3 linked regions of the Daphnia pulex genome follow. The protein of the gene in region 3 interacts with the protein of the main gene of each other region in a biochemical or structural test. Links are inferred from orthologs where the notes say so. Each region holds a gene or a part of one and is shown on either strand. Other genes may lie near its edges.

Region 1 (3,740 bases), on a different chromosome or scaffold from region 3:
ACCATTTCCTCCTAGTTAAAGAGTAGATAAATAGATTAAAAAGTGATAATAAGTCAATTTTATTTAAAAACTTACCTCGATAACTACTAGATCCTCCACCAACCCAATGATCTCCATTGCTCCAGCCCCCACCAGAACCTCCTCCGTTGCTCCATGAATCCCGTCGTTCCCACAAATCCCCGCCTCTGTCGGCGTTTCGGTCACCTCGGCCGCTATCTCGATACCCGCGGTAATCACCACGACCTGAAGGTGACGATCCAGGAGAAGGACCGCCACGCTTCATCTTATCCATATCAGCTTTGCTGATAGCTTTTTTAACATCTAAATGTCTTCCTTTAACAGTGTGGTCACGAATCACTAGAACACACAAGATTTTTTTAGTTACAAGATACCAGAAAAATGTAGGCCATGTACTTACAAACAACTTTGTCAACTGGATCATAATCATCAAATTCAACAAATGCAAAACCTCTTTTCTTGTTGGTTTCTTTTTCTGTAACAACATTCACTGAGGCGATTGGACCAAATGTTGAAAAGTACTTTTGCAAGTCCTCTTCTTCAACATCATCCCTCAGACCACCAACAAAAAGTTTTTTGACAGTTGAGCTTGCTTCAGGTTTGCCTATCAACTATTTAAGAAAATGTTAGACAAATATTTAGAATAGAATCAATAGTAAGACAAACTAACATCTCTAGGGACAGCACGCTTTGGCTCAACCTCTCTGCCATCTACTCTGTGAGGTCTTGCTGCTTGGGCTTCATCTACCATGAAAGCTCGGGCATATGTTACAAATCCAAAACCACGAGACCTGAAAGAATCATTACCCCAAATTAATTTTCATTTTAACATTAAGAACACTTTATCAAAATAGCATTCCAAGGTATGAAAGACTGGTATCAACTTACTTCCTCGTCTTGGGGTCCTTCATTACAACAACATCCACAATCTGGCCCCATTGTTCAAAATGTTTTTTCAGGGATTCATCAGTTGTGCGATAGTCAAGTCCACCAATGAACAACTTTCGAAACTGCTCAGCTTCAGGTTTCTCCTACAAATCAAATAGAATGTTTGTGTCATTTAAATAAACAAGGAACTTAAAACTACGTTTCACAATACGTCAAGGGTCGCAAAACTAGGGGTTCCATCATCAGCAATTTTATTTATTAATAAAGCAAAATCTAACCTTAACGGTGTGTTGTTCTGTTGCTGGTGGTTTAGTTTCTCGTTCTTCTTCTTCAACGACCGGCTCAGGCTGTTGCTGCTGTTGTTCTTCGGTTTCGGATTTCATTTTTCGACTAACCAACGTGTAACACAAGTACGCCGGGATTGCTCACTTCTTCTTCTTATGCTTTGATCAAAGCGTCATCCAGCAAAGTCGGAAGGGAAGGAACAATGTTGCCAAATTTTGTCTCGATTGCAACGTTGCCAAGTTGTACGATTTCCCAACAGCAATCAGTATTTATTTTATTATTTTTTTCTTCTAATTTGATTATGTTTTATAAAAACAACTAGAATAAATAGCTGGAAAAATTTAGAATTTGTTCTTGTATCTTTTGGACCACTTAATATTTTTATCAATAATTATTTTATTTTTTTTATTAAGTGCAAATTTGGCGCCCTTTTCTCGCTCTCCTTTTTTCCCCTTAGAGTCATGGTTTCCTACTAAACGCATTTCTTGTCGGTTTGTTACAGACTTTTCAACGTTTTTTATCACGCGAATTAAGTTAAGGTAATTGAGTTTGGTTCCATCAGCCACAAAATATTTTTGAATGCCCAGAAAACTACACTTATTTCATATCATTTGCCCATGCCAAAATAATCTATTATATTTATTATATTCGATTGTGGCGGTGAGAAACGTCTATGTAACCAAGCTCGTGATTAATCCCCTCAACAAAAATGTCTATTTCTCGTGTGATCAGACTCCACTGTGGCCGTGATATATAATCTTTTTATCTGTTTATTTGCAGATAAGTCAGCTCTTTTAGAAATTAGTATTTGTGAAAAAAGCTACACAATTTCCAACATGGGCCGAAGCACAAAAGGGAAAGAGAAAGAAGTTTTGGATGAACAAACTCCTGCTACTCCAGCAACAGAAAGTCCTGCTGAAGAGGAATACTCTGTTGAAAAAGTTATGGATAGAAGGTATATATAAATATTTATATTGTCGTTGATCATTATTGACCAACAAATGTCATCTATCAAATTCAGAGTACGAAATGGCCGAGTTGAATATCTCCTAAAGTGGAAAGGCTACGATGATGATGACAATACCTGGGAACCTGAGGAAAACCTAGACTGCCCTGCTTTGATTTCAGAATTTGAGGAAAAAAGAAAAGAAAAGGAAAAGGAAAAAAAGAAAGAAATTGACAAAAAAGAGAAAAAGCGTTCACTCCCAATTGAAGAACGTGACAAAAAAACCACAGAAGAAAAAAGACCAGCAAAGAAGAAGACTTCGGAGGTTTGTGGAATTTCACGACAATAAGTTGGCTTTGGTTATGATCATTTATACGTTTTATTTGTGACTTCCAGGAAGAAAATCGTCCAAGAGGGTTTGAACGAGGACTTGACCCCGAAAAGATTATCGGCGCCACAGATTCTAGTGGCGAACTCATGTTTCTTATGAAATGGTTCGTATAGTAAAACAAAAAGTTGTTCAATGTCATATGCTATTGTATCACAAGTTACAGCATCTTAATTAACACGTTTTTTTTTGATTATTTTTAAATCTTACAGGAAATCCAGCGATGAAGCAGATCTAGTTCCAGCCCGCCAAGCCAACAAGCAATGTCCACAGGTCGTGATTCAGTTTTATGAAGAGCGCCTGACATGGCATAGCAACGCCAACGACAATGACGACGGTGACGTCAAAGAGAAAGACGCAACCGAATAAATAGTTAAAATCCTCAAATTTCGATGTCTTAAAATGCTATTAAGCTGGTTTTAACTAAAATACTGAACCACGCGAAACTTGTCTTACTTCTCCGTATCCTCCCACGTCACAACAATCCCTCATTTTTCGTTCATTTACTCATTTTCATTTGCATTATGGTCTTCGAGTTTTTTGCACGCTCGGCATTGTTTTTAAGTTTCCATGAACGCCCCGAGTTATATTCCCTGTCTTCGAGTTTTCTTTTCCAAATGTACGATCGAAGTAACCAGAAATACAACGTCAACTTTTTCGTACGTCATGCTGCCACTATAGCTGAACTGCTATCAGTACAAACTATTCATTTACCCGCGTGACCTTAATCTTACGGCTTGATAAAAAAAGTCTTGTTGATAAAAAGTATTTTTCCATGGGCTCTTGGGTTAGAAAGATGGCTAAACGGCAAAAAAGGTAAAGCTCTAGTCCATTAACCGACGTAACGGTGTTAGTTCACTTCGCTCCAAACTGTGCCAAGTTCGAAAGACGAAAAAGAAAAACTGATGGCGTAACACAAACGTCAAAAAGTGCAAATATCGTGGTAGTTTCCTTTTACAATTGTAACTAATAATTTCAATATTCGAATCTTGGGACTGTTGGGATTGACGTAACCTTTGAATTAGAAATACAGCGGAATATTATCCTGAATTTGGACCAATTCAGAGAAAATACAAATGTAGGCGACTAGATCCTTGATTTAAAATGTTTTCATGAATCTAAATGTATCTTATTAATTTCCTAACTGCTTTCATTCATCATTAAAGACAATTCCTTTGCGATGGTTTCTACGGAATTCCAGAACGAACCATCTTT
Region 2 (4,341 bases), on a different chromosome or scaffold from region 3:
GCGTATGACGGACAGGAAAGAATCACTTGTTATTTGACAATTTTTACACTATAAGGGTAAAAACTGATTACAAAAGGAAACTAAGAATGTCAGTAATAAAATCGTACCAGCCAAATCACAGTTTGATTAATGTAGTCCGGATCTGAAAGCAGGTCGAACAGTGGAATGATAATTTCACCTGCTAGTATCTGGGAAGAGAGCAAGTTCAGTGGGCGACAGTTTAATTCTTCCTTTCCAAGTAGTTGAAGTAAGAAATCAGAAAGGATCTTTAAGCACTCTTTAAATATGACAAAAAAAATCAATTAAAAGGCCAACTCATTATTAATAAATATCTTCAACCTTTTTCATAAGAAGGATCCATTGAAATTCTTTTTCTTGAATTTTTTTTGGTACCAGATCTTTCAAGTTCAAAAAAAGTAGCGACAAGATTTTGATTCATGCCTTTTGCAGAATCGTCATTACTAGTCTTTTGGTTTAATCTGTTTTTTGCCTCGCGATATGTACGTATGTGAGCAATCACACTGTCAAAAAATCTTGTAGTAAGAAAAGGAAGCCAATCAACTTCTTTGCATCTATGTGAAGAAAAATATAGCAAAACAAGTCATTGTGTCAAATAAAATACTTTGATACCTATTGGATGCATTGATTGCTATTTTTTGCAAAAACTGTTTTGATTCAAACAGGAACTCTGTTTCTTTTGTTACTAAACTGTACCAGTTTTCAACATAGTCTCGTATGATGTATTGGAACACATCTTGCACAGCATCATCAATTATACTTGAGCCAGAAAGTCTTTTATCCACACTTATTTTATTATCTCCAGCTGACTGTTTAGTTGACTAAAATGAATCAATTAATAATTATTAGTTAAATTTAATAATTTCATTCTGTCTTTTTTATTGACTGTTATACTACCATTTTAGGCAAGCTTTGTGACGCTGCTGTACATTGAATGCTGAAGACATCCAACAAGTCTGTAGAAACTATTGATTGGGTCTCATTAAAAAAACCAACGAAAAAACTGTAAATCCATCAAGGGTTGGCTGATTATAAGACTGAATGAACATTTGGCATATATATTACAGACCTTGCTGCTAGGAAGATGAAGAAAATTGTGGTAGAAAGGGCAGTATTGAAACCCATCATTACTGCAATAAAAACTACTGCAACTATTCCTATTCGATGCGATTTCATCTTTCATCTATCTAGTATTGAAACTCAGTTATTTCCAAAACACTGTAATTTGGGATCATTTACAGAATCGAAAGATGAAACAAACAACCGTAATGCCAAAATATAGATACATGACCGAGTTCTTGCATTTAATTACAACATCCACTAAACCAGCTAAAACTAAACAAGCAAATGCTCATTAGCTGTTGCTGCACTAGAAAAGGCTAACCAACACGGATGATCGAGGGTGTATTTTACAACTTTGTCATCAGATGGGTCTGGAGTCTGGACTCCTCCAATAGGGGCAACCTTTTGTTTTTTTGTAGATCTAGGCGCGAAAAATAGACAACACAATTCATCAACGAAAAAATGGATGGTCAAGGACAGCGTCTAATAACGTAAAAATTCTGTTAATAGATTGAAATTAAATTTTGTTTATTACCTCTGAAGTTCGTGAATAGGTCTTTTTTTGGTAAACCACGTGCAACGTCTGTTAAGCAAGAAGTAAAAGAGGAAAATATTGAAAAGAAGAGTACTGACGACACATCGTCACCGTGAGTAGCAAAAACAAAAACTATGCTTTCCAGATTGTTGAGATGCAATGCCACAAAAGAAATTATTTTCAATTTTAGTAGATTGTGCACTGTAGATCATTTATGTGTTAAACAAAAACCCAAAACCTTATTTTTGCAATTCATTAGGGAAAAAAACAGTTCTTTACTAGACAAGCCAGCAGTTCAAAGTGCTAAGAAGAAAGTAATAAAGAAACTTGACAGTGATGATGAGGAACCTGTTTCTCAGAAAAAGTAATGAGCACTGTAGATCATTTATGTGTTAAACAAAAACCCAAAACCTTATTTTTTGCAATTCTTTAGAGAAAAAAACAGTCCTTTACCAGACAAGCCAGTTCAAAGTGCTAAGAAGAAAGTAAAGAAACTTGAAAGTGACGATGAGGAACCTGTTTCTCGGAAAAAGTATAATGAGCATTCCAGTATCAAACCCACATTTTCATTTATTATCTTACTTATACTTAGGAGAAGAAAGTGTGCAGTTAGTAGCAGCAGTGAAGATTCAGAACCAGATAGTGCGATTGAGAAACCGGCTGTGCTTAAAAAAGCAGATATTTTTTTGAAAAGTGTGAAATCCCCAACTAAATCTTCAAAATTACCTTCCAGTAATGAAACTCCTCTCAATGGGAAACTTGAAATTAAAAAATCTAATGTGTCACTAACCACCAAAGGTTTGATATAAGACATATATTACAGAAAGGTGTTCATGGTGTTACCTAAATATAATTGTTTTAATGGTAATTTTTTTAATTCAGATGCACATGATTCAAAAGATGGTGTAACTGAATTGTTGAATCCTGATTCATATAATCCTGGGAAACAAAATTATCATCCTATTCAAGATGCAACATGGAAAAAGGGAGAAAATGTCCCTTACATGGTTCTTGCTAAAACACTGGAATTAGTAATTAAAAATTAACAAATTCTACATTATACCTTATTTAATGGAAATGTTTACCAGATTGAAGAAACCAGTTCCAGGTTAAAAATGATAGAGATTTTAGCTAACTATTTCCGAAGTGTTTTCCTGTTGTCACCAGATGATTTACTATGTTCTGTTTACCTATGTTTAAATCAGTTAGCCCCTGCATACATGGGTAAGTCCAGCATAAAATCAAAAATAATTTTTTACACCACTTTATATTTTGCTTAATGATTTGCAGGTATAGAACTTGGTGTAGGAGAAGGCATAATAATTAAAGCAATTGCACAAGCTACTGGAAGAGCAACAGATAAAGTTAAATCTGATGTTGCTACTAAAGGGGATGTTGGGTTGGTAGCAGAGGCATCCAAAGGCACACAGAGGACTCTTTCTATGTTTAAGTAATGTTTTTTTTTTTTTTTTTTTAATCTTAAAACTTATATAATATGTTAATTATTTATTTGGTTTGATTATATCAATTTGTTATGATTTATGTTTACAGACCAGTGAGTTTAACTGTGAAAAGCGTTTTCACTAAATTAACAGAAGTAGCCGTGATGACTGGAAATAGTTCTCAAATAAAGAAAGTTGATAAGATTCATGGAATACTCGTTGCTGCAAAGCAATTAGAATCACGTTTTATTACCCGATCGCTTGCTGGAAAACTTCGTATTGGGTTAGCTGAACAATCAGTACTTCAAGCTTTAGCTTTTGCAGCTACTGCAACTCCTCCGAACCAATCTACACCGCCTACCCAGTTGAATTGTTTTGCGGGACTTAGTAGCGAAACCATTAAAGCAAAAGTGGAAGCTTCGGCGGTTATTTTGAAGACAGCATATTGGTAAATATTGGCTCCAGATCTCATTTTATATTTACTGGAAATGTTTTAAAAATAATTTAATTAAATCTGAGATCGGTATTAAGTTACTACATTTACTCGCGCTGTTGTTAAGTGTTGCCCTTCGTTATAAGAGAAACAGTGTCAATAATGGAATATTTTTCTTTTTGTAATATCAAATATGTAACTCGATCATTTTCTTTCTTGCAGCCAATGCCCTAGTTACGATCAAATTATTCCAGTTCTCTTACGCGAAGGCGTAGAAGCGCTCCCGCTACACTGTACACTAACTCCGGGTGTTCCACTAAAACCCATGTTAGCGTGTCCCACACGAGGAGTCGGAGAAGTATTACAAAAATTTGAATCTACCAAGTTTACTTGCGAATGGAAATATGATGGCGAAAGAGCTCAGATACATCTTCTCGAGAACGGGGAAATCAGAATTTACAGCAGAAACCAGGAAAATAACACTTCCAAATATCCAGACATAATCAGTCGCTTTCAATCGTGGATTGAACCATCAGCTTCAGTCCGCTCAGCTATTTTGGATACCGAAGCTGTAGCGTGGGATACAGAGAAGAAACAAATTCTTCCATTTCAAATACTTTCAACAAGAAAACGAAAGGATGCTGTGGAAGCTGACATCAAAGTCCAAGTATAATATTTCAATATGTTCAACGTAAGCAACCATTTCCTTACCTTTTCGTTCATTCAAATTTAATCCTTAAAAGGTTTGCGTGTATGCGTTTGATTTGCTCTATTTAAATGGGGAATCTCTTGTTACAATGCCGTTAATAGAACGTCGGCAAAGACTTTGGAATAGTTTCCACAAAGTTGAC
Region 3 (3,081 bases):
TTTCTATCAACTTCTTCGGTTTTGATTTGCGCATTTGTTTTTGGTAAAACTGGAAGCCCGGTCACTAGATGTTTGTGCCATTAAATTTCTGATTTTATCTGCCTAGGCCTACGGGCCCTTACGCATTGTTATTGCACTTTTCTTTGCCAAAGTATCTTTCCAGAATTTAATTGGTACTGATTGTTCCAACTGAGTGTGTTCCTTACGCCTAATCTCCCACTCCCTCACTCACTCCCTACCCATAAAAACCCAGACAATTCTCACCTGATTGTTTCACCTTGTTCTTCCCGACAAGATCGACATATTGCGCATTATTATCACTTCACTGTCATTATCATGATGGTTTTCATTAATATTGTGGTGGTGTAGTTTGACAAGCAATTTTTATGTATGTTGATGAATTTCTTTTTTGGACAGAAGAGTTTTGCGTCAGTGTTATCGTTTTTTCTGAGGTTTGTTTCATTTATCGTGCAATATTACACAATCAGGCCGTTATTCGCGCTTGTTTAAAAGAAAAACAAAACATTCATTTTGTTTCTTTTTTAAAAATTCTTTTTGAAATGAATTAATACTATTTCTATACATTTCAGGTAGAATGAGGAGTGGCTCACTCATTAAGGAACTAAAACAGCAACATCTACGCAAAACGAGGTATATTTTGCCAAGAAAAATTGACAAGTACAAGGGAGGAAAATGCGAGACGAGACTTGAACATACATTCAGGTGAGATTTATTTACAGAAGAGATGATGCACGATGCACCCACAAGTCATTTGAATCGAATAGTGTTACCCATGTAAAGTGGAGCTACCATTAACATTGATAAGACGTAGGACAGCTATAGGAAAAAAAAAACATGGGACTAGGAAAAAACAAATTGCACATACTGATCAACGCGTAGCTACAAGGATTTTTTTCTACACGCACTTGTTTAGCAGGGGATCATTTCATTCCTAAAGTTGCTTGTCAACAACAAGTTCATTACGACGTAATCATGGTGATTAAAAATTAAGTAGGTGAGGGAACGGTAAACAATCGTTTCTTTTCTTCAACATTACCAAATTGAGTTCATTAACGTTTCGTAGGTAATAAAAACCAACTTGCAGGTATGATAGAGCACAAATGGAAGTGGGGAGTAGGTGGCAAAATTTTGAGTAGTGTTGAATCCAAATGGCATATTGCAAGTCAACAATAGTTCATTATGTAAAACTTTGAACGAAGGTAAGACAAAGTATAACGGGAAGAGTAATAATGAATGGCATTTGGGAGAGCGCATGCATAAGTTGGCAGCAACTAGAAATTTGTTTTTTTATTACTAACGTTGGGAGTGCTGGTAGCCATTTTCGAGTTCTTGAAGTTGCAGGCTACGCCGATATTCTTCTACTGTTCGGTGAATCGTCAACTGCGAGTACTTGCATTTCGGCGATTGGCACGAACACGTGAATGACTTATATTTGATAATCCAAAATTTGTCACCATAATCAAAAGCCAGCTCTTCATTGGCTTCAATATCTCGGACGGCGAAGAATGCGATGCGCGGAAACTTCAAATCCTGGTGGTCGACAAAAACTTTTACCGGAATTAAGTTAGGTTCACAAGAGTGGTTGATGAAGCGGGCTATATTGCCATAACGGCGGGCGTCGATGCAGTAAGTTTCTCCGTCCTATTAACAAATATTAATAGGTAAGATCATGCAGCAACTTTCGCTTAAGTACTTTTTCATTCATAAACTTACCTTGTTATCCAGATCGAAAAGATATGAATCATCCTCACGTTGATCAGCTTCAAAGTCTGTGATGATTTCGCCAATGTATCTACGAGATGAGATAAACAAGGTTATTATCTACGAAAATCACGACAAAGTTCGGGTGCACTTACTCGCAGACGTAGGATCCCATAGGAATGGGTTGAGCTGTTCGGACGCCCCAACCTTTGTTTTCGATGCGGAAAAGAACTAAACGCGAGGTAATTCCATGTTGAACTAAACGGTTGTTGCACGATCCCCGATGACACTGACATGCACGATTGCATTCGAACAACATTGGCGGATCTGTTGCAATAATTCTAAACGTGTTAGTAATTTTTAACATAGGCTACTTGTATCCAAGACTTGCCTGCGAAATTAAAGTCGGGCACCAGTTTGCCTTCTTCGTCGTACCAGCAACGAAAGCTGAGACTAGAACAGTTACAGTTGGTTGAGCAGTCACCAACACATTCGCAAAACTAGAATTAAATTTTGTTTAACTTATTTTTCTATTTAGTAGTTGTAATTTTAACAATACCGTTAGCGAGTTGATGGTTCTGTCGACATGTAGTGGACTCGTGAAGCAGTTTTCTGTGATGTAGATAAAGTCGTTAGGCTTAGGCTCATCGTCAAATCCATTTACACACTGAATCGGGTTGGCCTCTTTCCCTTTAGTGATGTCGCTGTAAAACAATTGAAGAATCCGTTGATTTAAGTCTTCTTTGAATATGTCTTGTACTGAATACTTGATCTTACTTTGAGAGGAATTTTTCAGAGTCACAATACGGCGTTTGAGTAAATGGCTGAAGTTTCATATTGACCGTCAACAATAAAGCCGAGTCACACCGCTTATCAGGACAAACCTCTAAAGCTAATTGATTCTCTTTATTCCTTAGATCGAAACGCCCGCCTCTATGTATCAGGAGCAAGGCGCATTCACAGTTATCTCGACGACTTGCCGTGTGCCTTTAATTGCACAATGTAACGATAAAGAAATCAACTCATCCTGAAAATGAAACAAAAATCAACTTACAGTGGAGTGTCGCCATGAACGTTGGCAGCATTCACTTCACATCCTTGGTCAAGTAGAAGGGCAACAATATCAACGGATCCAGAGAAAGCAGCCCAGTGCAAAGCAACGTTCTGCTCCGCGTCTCGCACATTAGGATTTGCCTTACATTGAAGTAAGTATCTAAAAGAAAAGTTATTTTATGTAGAATTGACCTCAGGTTCAGTAAATGTTTGATCATTACTTGACTATGTCTACTCGTCGATGTTCACAACCCCAGACTAGTGGTGTCCATCCTCCATCGTCTTGAACGTTGATGAAATTTTTGC

Evidence for each region.
Region 1: the proteins of histone-lysine N-methyltransferase EHMT2-like (region 3) and chromobox protein homolog 1-like form a complex in vitro, tested with the Homo sapiens proteins (2 studies listed by BioGRID). The link is inferred for Daphnia pulex from reciprocal best matches to the Homo sapiens genes EHMT2 and CBX1.
Region 2: of the proteins of histone-lysine N-methyltransferase EHMT2-like (region 3) and DNA ligase 1-like, one has a biochemical effect on the other in vitro, tested with the Homo sapiens proteins (3 studies listed by BioGRID). The link is inferred for Daphnia pulex from reciprocal best matches to the Homo sapiens genes EHMT2 and LIG1.

What each region holds. Positions count from the first base shown.
Region 1 is NC_060019.1:11,841,777-11,845,516, forward strand, and holds chromobox protein homolog 1-like, read left to right. Parts: upstream 1-1,592; 5' UTR 1,593-1,730; intron 1,731-1,969; exon of another isoform or gene 1,970-1,971; 5' UTR 1,972-2,027; coding exon 2,028-2,146; intron 2,147-2,212; coding exon 2,213-2,462; intron 2,463-2,533; coding exon 2,534-2,631; intron 2,632-2,737; coding exon 2,738-2,894; 3' UTR 2,895-3,187; downstream 3,188-3,740. Other genes in the region: heterogeneous nuclear ribonucleoprotein A1, A2/B1 homolog, read right to left, coding at 1-11, 76-357, 419-629, 689-809, 907-1,049, 1,185-1,289; uncharacterized protein LOC124191317, read left to right, coding at 3,706-3,740. UniProt on the Homo sapiens protein: Component of heterochromatin. Recognizes and binds histone H3 tails methylated at 'Lys-9', leading to epigenetic repression. Interaction with lamin B receptor (LBR) can contribute to the association of the heterochromatin with the inner nuclear membrane.
Region 2 is NC_060017.1:4,260,952-4,265,292, forward strand, and holds the start of DNA ligase 1-like, read left to right. Parts: upstream 1-1,445; 5' UTR 1,446-1,542; coding exon 1,543-1,571; intron 1,572-1,634; coding exon 1,635-1,727; intron 1,728-1,874; coding exon 1,875-1,979; intron 1,980-2,048; coding exon 2,049-2,147; intron 2,148-2,207; coding exon 2,208-2,413; intron 2,414-2,497; coding exon 2,498-2,646; intron 2,647-2,703; coding exon 2,704-2,839; intron 2,840-2,905; coding exon 2,906-3,065; intron 3,066-3,166; coding exon 3,167-3,505; intron 3,506-3,712; coding exon 3,713-4,157; intron 4,158-4,233; coding exon 4,234-4,341. Other genes in the region: sorting nexin-13-like, read right to left, coding at 1-48, 108-277, 340-572, 631-839, 916-1,021, 1,088-1,194.
Region 3 is NC_060028.1:9,379,296-9,382,376, forward strand, and holds the end of histone-lysine N-methyltransferase EHMT2-like, read right to left. Parts: coding exon 2,997-3,081; intron 2,936-2,996; coding exon 2,777-2,935; intron 2,710-2,776; coding exon 2,500-2,709; intron 2,427-2,499; coding exon 2,282-2,426; intron 2,223-2,281; coding exon 2,114-2,222; intron 2,050-2,113; coding exon 1,878-2,049; intron 1,814-1,877; coding exon 1,735-1,813; intron 1,663-1,734; coding exon 1,315-1,662; 3' UTR 639-1,314; downstream 1-638. UniProt on the Homo sapiens protein: Histone methyltransferase that specifically mono- and dimethylates 'Lys-9' of histone H3 (H3K9me1 and H3K9me2, respectively) in euchromatin.